Linked DNA regions of Drosophila melanogaster. The main gene of each other region encodes a partner of the protein of the gene in region 2 in a complex. Each region holds a gene or a part of one and is shown on either strand. Other genes may lie near its edges.

Region 1 (4,057 bases), on a different chromosome or scaffold from region 2:
CTAATAAAACCTTCGCAATATTTGTTAAAGTCGCTCATTCTTGTCTATTTTTAATTTGCCGCACGTGCATTAAATGACGACAGTGCTGACTATTCAGCTAGATTTAAGCTAACTTGGGCTGAAGACACATTGAATACTTAATAGACGAGTTGAAAGGGATAAGAGTGCACTTCAAATGCGTCAGCACTCTTTCTTTTATGACGAAATCCACTTATTCGACAACTGAATTTATTTTTAACTACTTCAATAATATGATTTTGAAGCCAAGTCACACACCACACCTTGCGATGCTTCTTCTTGGCTATGCAAACAAAGCCGTTCACAGTGAAGCGCCTTCAAATTACGGCGCGCATTGTGATCGTTTTAAATAAATTAAAAATTATGGTTCCTTTGAAAAGTTCATGGTAATGGTAAGATAAAAGCGGCTACCTATAATTAACTCAATTGTCAATCATCAACAGTTCCACCATCATACTTGTACACCCGTACCACACACCCACCCATACAGCACAATAAGCAAGATTTCTTTGTTTTCGTTTAATATCGATCTGTAGTTTTATTCTTTATACAAAAATGAATTTCACAAGAAGCCGTTCCGAATACGACCTACATACATGTGCTGTCGCCATAAGTCAGTTGCCTAAATATTCTTTCGGTTTGGAGTTGGATTTGCGTGTTCGTTGAGGTTTCTTGATTGCCTGACTTGACTATGTAACTCGTTTTGTGTTATGTATGGTTATATAAATATATATTTACATATTTATATAGGTTCTGCCATTTTATATTTAACAAAGGACTCTTATTCCTGCGCAGCATCTCTAACAAGAAGAACTCTTCAACAAGCAACTATGCATTCAATAATTAGATATATGCGGGCTACATTTATAGATCCTATTCACATGAAGTCGTCATAGTCTTCGGTGAAGTCATTTCCGTACTTTTGGTAACCGTCAATGTCCTGCAAAAGAGCGGATTAAATAAGTTCATTCGTTGATCTCGAACGGCGGCGATTGAAACACTCACGTCGTTTTCGGTGCGGAGAGTGACCTTGCCCTTGCCCTTTCCAGCGGGCTTTTTAGCATTGGCCTTTTCCAGCTTCAGCTTTTCCGAGTGCAAGATTTCCACGTTCATCTTGACCTTTTTGATGTCAGCAGCGCTCACTAGATAAGGTGCGAAATCAAATCAGATAAGCCGTCTTTAATTGTCAGCCAGCTAATCACTCACGATTCACGCATAGGCTGCGCACCAGATCCTCAACAAATTGGGGGAAGTGCTCCGACTCGCGGAATTGGCCCACCTTCCAGCTGAGCGTTGCGCCAAATTCCTTGAACTCCTCCTTGGTCTCGGGGTTGAAGGCGTCAAGACCTCCGCACGTACTCGTCACACCGAACGCTTCCTGGGCATGCTTGAGATCAGAGGCCTCCTGGATTTTTTGCAATCGCAGCTTCTCAGCCAACTTTTCTGCAGGCGATAGGTTGGCCAAACGTTTTGCCTCCGCTTCCTCCTCTAGGAGCTGTTAATAACAGATGATAACAATATAGCCAATGATTGAGAAATGCTTTTGAGCCTTATCTCACCGCCTGCTGTTCCAGTTTGGCTTTTAGCGCCTTATTTGGCTTCGGTTTGGCTGGTGCTTCTGTTTTCGTAGGCTTCTCCTCGTCCTTTTTTTCCTCCTCATCCTCCCAGCTGTCCTGTGGGCAGCAAATAAACAAATGATTCGATCAGTCTGCTGCAAAAGTGCACACGTGTACAGCGAAACGAAAGTGAAACCGAGTGCAGAAAAACAAGTTTTGGCCCATGGCATTTGTTGTTGGGCACTTGGATAGTTGGTTTGAATGCGGCACTGCTTTCGATCTCACTTGGATTTCGTTAGTCGCACCTTGATGTCCTCATCCTCGTCCTCGCCCTCCCACTTGTTTACGCTGGCGGCGGCAGTCGGCCGGATGACCACCTCGCTGTCTGCTGCGGATTCTGCCAGGTAACAGAATGAGTTCCAGGAACATGGTGAATAACAATGATTTCAAACGGTTAGTTGGCACAGTGGCTAAAAATACTCATCAAGGCTGGTTGCACGGCACTCCAACAACAACAGCAATAGCAGCAGCAACAACAACAACAACGACGGAGACCACGTTTATTGTCCGCCGTGCAGATGACGCACCGCCCACTCTTCCGCCCAGGCCAATCGCAACTTACCCCAATCGTCGGCCATGTTAATGGTTGCCTATTTGCTTGCGGGATTTGTGCTTCTGGATGGGATGGTGCTGGGATCGACTTGTTTCCAGCCTCGGCAGCGATTTCAGGAATTTTCCAAAACCAAATTTCTGTGGATCTGTAGTGTGCCCAAGGCGCGACTAGCGGAAAATGCGTGGGTAACGTCGCCGATAGTCTGTTGCCATCGAATATTCGTAGTGCGGCCAAGGTGATATCAAGTTATCGACAATTTGAAATTTGTTACCCTACAATATTTCATTTTTCATTTTTTTCCTTTCTTGATTGTAAGATTGCTTATTTTATTTTCAAACACAAATTTGTCAACTTTGTTAAGAAATCTTTAAGTTTTTAAAGATTTGAGTTACCCTACAAGTTTTTTTCAAAAAAAATTCGTGATAAATCTCCCTCTTCGTGGTGTTCTAAGAAACTTACTCTTAGAGTTATAAGGAAAATTGATTCGACTCGATAAATTATATATAGTAGAGAGTATATACATACATAAGCATGTTCTTGATAAGAAGAACTAGCTGTGTCGTTATATACCTCGAACTCCCCAATTGCTGACTAAGGCTATCTTATAGTCGAGGAATTCTTTCGATTGAGAGGCTAAGTCATCCTTATTGGAGTTAGAATTGGTCTAGTTAAGATCTGGATTTGTTTGCAAAATGTGAATTATGTCAAACGTCTGCAATTCTCAATGGTTACATCTGTTTTTAACATAATCATGTTAAATGTGGCTTTTTGTCCCAAGAACGGTTTTAAAGATAATTGTGTACTTTCTTTACTTGACTGTTTTGGCGATTTTGTTAACAAAGAACAACATCCATTTCTGCATGCATAAAAAGTATCATTTTAATAACGTTAAATTAAATTGGTATTCTTACAGATTTGTATTTCATTTTACGTTCATCTTCAGCGATATCATTGATTTTCTTCTTTATCCACTCATAATATGAGGAAGTTTTCGTGTAAACCGCTGGCCCATATCCGTAACTGGAGGGTCCCCCTCCGTAGGACGTTATTCCGGCTAGGTAATAAAATTGATCAGCACCCCTGCCCACCGAAGCCATCAGCGGGCTACCGGAATCTCCCAGTCCGGTGTCGGTGCCATCCCATCCCATGGCACATATCTGGATGTCCTTATCGACGAGCAGTGTTGGATACCGATTCAAGCATTCATCCGGACTCATTCCACTGATGGTGCCTTGGCGAAGTACGGTGCTTTTTTGCTGCAGACCCGAATCGCCCCAGCCGGCAATTTGAAAAGGGAAGTTTTTGAAGGAGGAAGTTGACAATTCAATGCCAGGCCAAATGCAAATGGGTCTGATCTGAAGAGTGTATCTGAAAGAGAGGACATCGATGGGAAAATGTGAAAAGAGGGAACCCCAAAGAGCACACTACTTACTTCACCCGACTCTTCAGACGCAACAGAGCAATGTCGTTGTAGTGTCTTCCATTTCTCGTGTAGTACTGCTCGTGCGGAACCCTCAGATCCACATCGATGTCCACGTGCGCTGGAGCCCATATCTTGGCTCCATTCGGCAGCCAGGTGTAGTCGGGATCGTTCTCGGTGTCATGCTCGCCCAGGCGCACACGTGCCACGTAGAAGTCATTCACATTCAAACAATGGGCTGCCGTCAGCACATAGCGACTGGCGATCAAGGAGCCCGCACACATGGGAGACGGTCGCTGCTTTGCTGTGTAGGCTTCGTAACCCAGCAGGACTGTCCAGGGAAACTGGTTGGACTGTGCCTCCATGCCGCCTACGATATATGACGAAGGAGGACTCTGTCCGCAGACCCTGCTATCTGGTAGTTTATCCCCTGCAACCATCGGGCAGCAG
Region 2 (6,175 bases):
GTACCGTATAGCACATTGTCCAAAATTTGTTCACGTGGACCGAGATTCGCGGCAGCGGCACAGACAGTGTGACCAGGGGCGCGCACCGCGGAGGATCCGCGAGGCCATGGCATTAGTGCCAAGTTCGCAAGAAAATACTAGTTGAGTGTGCGAAGAAGGCGCGGGCTCATATTATCGAGGCAAATTTTCAGAGGCAGAATATTTTTGTTTTGCTTGCTATAAAAGCTTTTCTAAATTTACTCGAATTTATTCCCAACGAATATGGTTTTACCTAAGAAAGATGTCACTTTTTTAAAATAAGTCAAGCGTATGTGATAATACAATTTACAATACTTTTGAATGCATTTTTTATTTATGGGCAATTAAAAAACCTAATGTTAAAAAGCCACGCTTCCAAGAACGAACTTTGTAAAACTATAGAAGAACCCGCATTTGTTTAGTTTGCAAACTACATTTTAATGTAGTTTTAGCTCTGTCGAAATATAAATTTAAAGGGACTGGTTTATAAATCACTGTACGTATAAGGGAAGCTTGGTTCATCCTGAAATCTGATAAATAAGAATTAGAATTTTTGAATTAAACCAATAATAACCACTTTTCATTTCTTTGATTCCCAAGGTTCTCATTCGACAATTTCACTTTTCAATTTTTTAGAACATAGTTATTTTATTCGAAAGTACTTTAATTAGTATCGGTCCTACAACCATCTCAATTTTAACTATCTGGCACAAGCTTTGGATAGATAGATATAATATACCGGCCGACTGAGCTCTACACCAATAAAGTACAAGTCGGATGAAATAAAAACTTATTAAGAATATTATGCTGGGTATATACGATGATGAAAATAAAAATTAACGACGCTTAACGCTGGTCCACTCGCCATCATCGCCAGCTTTGTTCTCTGAAAGATGTAACGCATTGATAAGAATGGAAATTAGGTTTGCTGCTGAGATTACTTACCCTTTTCCTGGGCTTGATCGCGCTTAGCTGCTGGTTTTTCCTCACGGGTCGCAGGAGCAGTACGCCAGTTTCCGCCTACTCCGCCACTGGCTGCCTCCTTAGGAGCAGAGCCGCGTTGATCGCCACGAGTCTCGCGCACATCTCGGTCGCGCCTCTCAGCTGGGCGACGGGTTTCCCGATCAGCGTGGCGTGGAGCGTCGCGCCAGTTCCCTCCAGTTTCCCGCTGAGGCTCGTCGGTACGACGCGCCCCGTCGGCGCGGCGGAATCCACCGCGCTCATCGTCACGATCCCGGCGAGGACCATCGTCACGGTCACGCCGAGGCCCATCATCCCTGTCGCGACGAGCCCCATCAATGCGGAAATCGCGGTCACGTTCTCCGCCACGCCGCCACTTGTCATCGCGCGATTGCGGAGCGCCACTGTCTTTGGGAGCAGCTGCACGCTGTGAATCTGGCTCTCGTCGCACACGCCAAGAGGAGTCCGCTCCCTCGTTGTCCTTGCGGTCACGGTCACCGCCTCGTTCAATGCGCTCTCCACCACGCTCGAGGCGTTCTCCACCGCGCTCGATCCGTTCTCCTCCGCGCTCGATACGCTCGCCACCACGGTCGTTGCGTTCACTGGCCGCAGGTGCAGCACGACGCCACTCGCTGGATCCGCCGTTAGATGCGCTTGGACGGTCACCGCCTCGAGGACGCCATGTGTCACGGTCCTTTTCAGTGCGTTCGCGCTCCGAGGCCAACTCCCTGGACAGGCGGTCTCGATCTTCCTTGATTTTACGCTCAGCTTCCTCCTCCTTGGCACGCTGCTTTTCGTATTGGGCACGACGCTTTTCGTCCTCAGCCTCACGCTCCAAACGGCGGGCTTCTGCTGCGGCGCGCTCTTCGGCAGCCTGTGCCAAGCGAATCTCTTCCTCCTTGCGAAGACGCTCCTCCTCTTTCTCGCGAAGGAAGGCCTGTCGGCGCTCCTCGCGGCGTCGAATAATGCGGTCGGCTAAGCGCTTTTTGCGCTCTGCCTCCAGAGCAGCCTCAAACTTTTTGAGCTTTTCGACGTAGAGGGAGGCACGTTCTTTTTTAAGGGCCTCAAGGAATTCATCCCGGTCCGGATACATGCGCTTGAGACGCTCCTGCTGGGCGACGGCATCCTTCCGTTCGGCAATGGCATTCTCGATGCGTGTCTTCTCGGTTGCTTCCCAGAACTCCTTGTCCTTAACCTGCTTTTCGGCCAAGTATTTTTCGAAAAGCGGTATCTCCTCCAGGCGCTTGGCGCGTTCGAAGTAGTCGATTTTCTTCTCTTGCGATTTGAGTTTCGACTGCAGTTCCTTGGCCTCGCGCTGAAGTTCCTCGCTTTCCCGCTTGGCGATCTGCTCGGCGTCCAACTTCTTAATGCCTTCCTCATCCAGCTTGGAAAGCATCTTCTTACCATGAGCCGTCTGCGAGATTTGCTGAACCTTCTCCTTGAGACTCTTCTCCCGGATGGCTTGGATTTCGTTCTGATGGCGCTTGCGCTCTCTTTCTTCTTGCTCCTGCTCGAGGCGCTTCTGTTCGGCCAGTTTGGCCTTCCGCGATTCCTCCTCCTGACGCCGCGCCTCTTCCTCTTCACGAGCATTATTCTGCTTCTCGATGTACTCCTTTCTGTCCTCGATGATCTTCTGTCGCTGAAGAATACGCTGGTGCTCGCGATCCTTGATCTCATGGTAATGGTTTACCATCTGGTTGCGGAGCTTGGCCCGCTGGTCACGTTCACGGTTCGGGTAGACGATTGAAACTGCCCGTGTCAGAACAGTAGACATATTAACCAACTGAGAGCGGATCTGTTCCGAGGGCATCGATTGCAAAGCGGGTCCGTCGGGGCGGTACTCGCGTTGACTCTCGGTCAGATCAGTGCCGAAATAGATACTGTTCTTCTGGTGGTCAATACGAATCTGCATGTCATTGTGACGCACGGACTCGACCAGCAGTTTTTCCAATTCAAAAATGTTGCAAAAACTGGCCAGCTGCAAGAGACGCTGGAACTTAATACTCTCATAAACCTGAGAGATCTGACGAATCAGACGCATTATAGTCACGTCCTTCAGCGATTGAATGTAAGGAGTGAGCAGAGCGTTTTCGGGCCCGTTCTCAATGAAGTCCACGATAGACTGAATGCGCTTGCACAGATTCAGTGGGTTGAAATCCACCTCCAACCAGTTGTATAGATTGCGAAAGTCCTCAGATACGAGTTGAGGAACATTCAAGCGCACCTGTGTTTATGAATTAGTCATAAGTCATTACTATATTGCGTGATACTTACCACTTCACGAATAAGGGAGACGCGAGTAGGTGGCTGGGGCAGGCCCAAAAGCACGGCCAACTTCTGCGCCTTCTCCAGGGGGCTCTTGTCCGCCTCAATAAACCTGTCGAACTCTGGATGGGCCGAAGGCAACGGAATAGAAAGAGTGGCCAGGAGAACGTGGGCAGCCATACGCTGCAAGTCGTCCTTCGTCAGGTTCTTCTTCAGCTCGCGCGTCAGCTGGAAGAGCTTCAGCAGCGCTGCAGCGTGGAACAACTGGTTGCCGGCCTTGCTAAAGACCATGGCTAATTTTTGGTAGTAGTTGGCCATGGTTTTGGGCACGGGTGTCTTCTTGGACAGAGCCATCAGGCCATGGATATCCTCGATTGCCTTGTAGGCCTCTTGCCACAGCTCCATCTGGATGGCCGAGTCAAGAAGGTACAACCTGGTGTCCAAGCAGAGCTGCTGCGTTTCCACCTTGTTGATCGAGACACCGGTGGTCTGGTTGCTGCTCTTGCAAATGTCCTCCAAGTGTTTGCGCAGCTTGTCGCACAAGCGGCGAAACTCGCTCTTGCGGTTGTACTTAAGGCAGAACTGGAAGGCCATGCGAGCGATATCGTGGTACAGCGCCTCGCAATGCGTGTTTACGCGCAGCAGCTCTAGACACTGGCAGTAGGACTCCCACAGGAACTTGACCCACGGGAGCAGAATAGTGCGGTCGGAGCGGTCCTGTGCGTCCTCGCCACACACTGCGCTCATTAGGATGCTCTCTGGCGTGGCAATGTTGTCCAGGTCATCCAGCTCCAGAACAGCAACGGCCGCCGAGGACTGGGCTTGGGCAGCCTCTGTGTGCTCTTCGGCCATTTTCAGGTAGCCGCGGATTACATTTTCCAGAGAGTTCACGTTCACCAGCTGGAACATGTTCCGGTACTGGAATAGTCCCTCCTTGGCGATGTGCGACTTCTTGAGTTCCACGCAGAGGTACAGGTACTTGAACATGAGCGGTTCGATGACCGTCTCCGAGTAGGCATAGTTCCATCGCTTGTTCCGGAAAACTTCCTGCAGCGTGTCCAGCGCCCTAAGCGGCTTTCCCACTTCAATGAACTCTGTGACGAAGAGAGCGGCGTCGAGTTAAGAGAGCACACGATTCGCGAAGACGAAAGTTTCTCTTCAGACACCGCATGGAAAATTTTCAGCACTCACCATTAGCCCTTTTTAGGGCGTTTTCCGGACGTTGCGTATAGCGGGCCATTTCCGATCGCTTTACTTACTTGCGGCGGCACTTCAAGTTGATTTTGATAGCAGGTCTGGAGCGTTTTGAGACCTGGGGCTGCTGAAAATTGTATAAATCTTCGGCTCGCCTACGTGTGGCTGCAATATTAATGCAAAATGGCCGAGTCGACGGCACGCAGGGCTACACCTGGCTGCGTTATCGATAGTTCAGGCCGATAGTTGCCGATGGTCAGCTAATCGCAGTGCAACTCCGCTAGCTCACAGCAATAACACGAGGAGTAATGAAGTCGCTCTAGAATATAAATAAACAATTCATTAATTAAAATAGCGACATGGTCAACTGGAGGAAGTTTATCTTGTGGTTCGCCCAGGAGCATGTCGACTTTCGCGTGCAGGAGTTTGATTCGCTGGTCAAAATGTTTGGACTTCAGGTCCGGCGGCTTACAGAACACACCAGGGTAAAGTGTTTTAGTACCAGAATTTTGAAAACGCAAGATTAACAAATTCCACCTCCCCTATAACTTTTAAAACCTGTGGTTTAATGTTATATCCAAACTTGGAATTTTATTAATATGTTTAATATTTTTAACGTAAAAAAATTTTATATGTATTTGTAAGAGGAAGAAAATAGTAAACTATATTTTCAAAAGTGTTTTCAACAGGTAGAAATTTAGCATTACTAGCTATAAATTATATACGATCGTTGAGATCTCAGGAACTACAAAACCTAAAAGGTTTCGAAAGGATACCTGATACCTGGTATACATACATTACGAATACGATCCGCGTACCTGTTAGATGTTTTTAGTGTAGGATACTTTGATTACATTATTTTTAGAGCTTGCGACACATATATAAATACTTCTGTAGTATAGAAGCATCAGCATATATAGTTATATTTATATTTTTTAATTTCGGTATTACAGAAACCATTTTGGTTGGTCGAATTTCGGGACACGGATACTGCGTTGCTATATGCATCCAGGTCCGTTTCGTTGCGCGCCATGTTCGAGCTCTACGCCCACTCCAACAAATTACCCGAGTTTCACCAGAGGCTACGGAATCATGTTACCGCGAACTGGCATTCGCTTGCGGAATACTTTCGGGTGGATGCCAGTTTTAAGATCGTTGTGGAGACCTACAACAAGCACTTCAGCCAGAGGGAAAAGGTTGAGAAAATCGAGTCCATGGATTACCTGCCAATAGAGGGAACGGTCAATCTGGAGAAACCCGTGGTGGAGTGGTGGTACATCGAGTTTTGGGGCTTGGATCCAACGGCTGTGCCACCTGAGCCGGAGGACATTCTGTTTGGTCGGCTGATGGCCCATGGTCAGCGGCATTTGATCAAGGAGCTTTCGCTGAAGCATCGTAAGTTTATCGGTAACACCAGCATGGACGCCCAGCTGAGCCTGCTAATGGCCAACCAAGCGATGGTACGCAATGGGGATCTGGTATTTGATCCGTTTGTGGGAACGGGCTCGCTTTTGGTAAGCGCCGCCAAGTGGGGCGGGTATGTCCTGGGAGCGGACATAGACTACATGATGGTGCACGCCCGCTGCCGGCCGAGCCGGATAACCCAAAAAGTGCGGGAGAAGGACGAGAGCATTCGGGCCAACTTGAAGCAGTACGGCTGCGCTGATCGCTACATGGATGTGGTGGTGGCCGATTTCTCCAACCCGGTGTGGCATTCCCGCATCTCGTTCGACTGCAT

The links.
Region 1: eIF3a (region 2) and eIF3j share a complex: the UniProt entries of both Drosophila melanogaster proteins name them as parts of the eukaryotic translation initiation factor 3 (eIF-3) complex.

The regions. Positions count from the first base shown.
Region 1 is NT_033778.4:9,967,375-9,971,431, reverse strand, and holds eIF3j (eukaryotic translation initiation factor 3 subunit j), read right to left. Parts: upstream 2,504-4,057; 5' UTR 2,213-2,503; coding exon 2,197-2,212; intron 1,972-2,196; coding exon 1,880-1,971; intron 1,692-1,879; coding exon 1,578-1,691; intron 1,514-1,577; coding exon 1,225-1,513; intron 1,161-1,224; coding exon 1,024-1,160; intron 959-1,023; coding exon 896-958; 3' UTR 535-895; downstream 1-534. Other genes in the region: CG12134 (uncharacterized protein), read right to left, coding at 11-38; CG12133 (uncharacterized protein), read right to left, coding at 3,081-3,555, 3,620-4,057. UniProt on the Drosophila melanogaster protein: Component of the eukaryotic translation initiation factor 3 (eIF-3) complex, which is involved in protein synthesis of a specialized repertoire of mRNAs and, together with other initiation factors, stimulates binding of mRNA and methionyl-tRNAi to the 40S ribosome.
Region 2 is NT_033777.3:4,429,265-4,435,439, forward strand, and holds eIF3a (eukaryotic translation initiation factor 3 subunit a), read right to left. Parts: upstream 4,632-6,175; 5' UTR 4,484-4,631; coding exon 4,435-4,483; intron 4,338-4,434; coding exon 3,253-4,337; intron 3,203-3,252; coding exon 964-3,202; intron 905-963; coding exon 855-904; 3' UTR 534-854; downstream 1-533. Other genes in the region: CG1074 (uncharacterized protein), read left to right, coding at 4,797-4,922, 5,391-6,175. UniProt on the Drosophila melanogaster protein: RNA-binding component of the eukaryotic translation initiation factor 3 (eIF-3) complex, which is involved in protein synthesis of a specialized repertoire of mRNAs and, together with other initiation factors, stimulates binding of mRNA and methionyl-tRNAi to the 40S ribosome.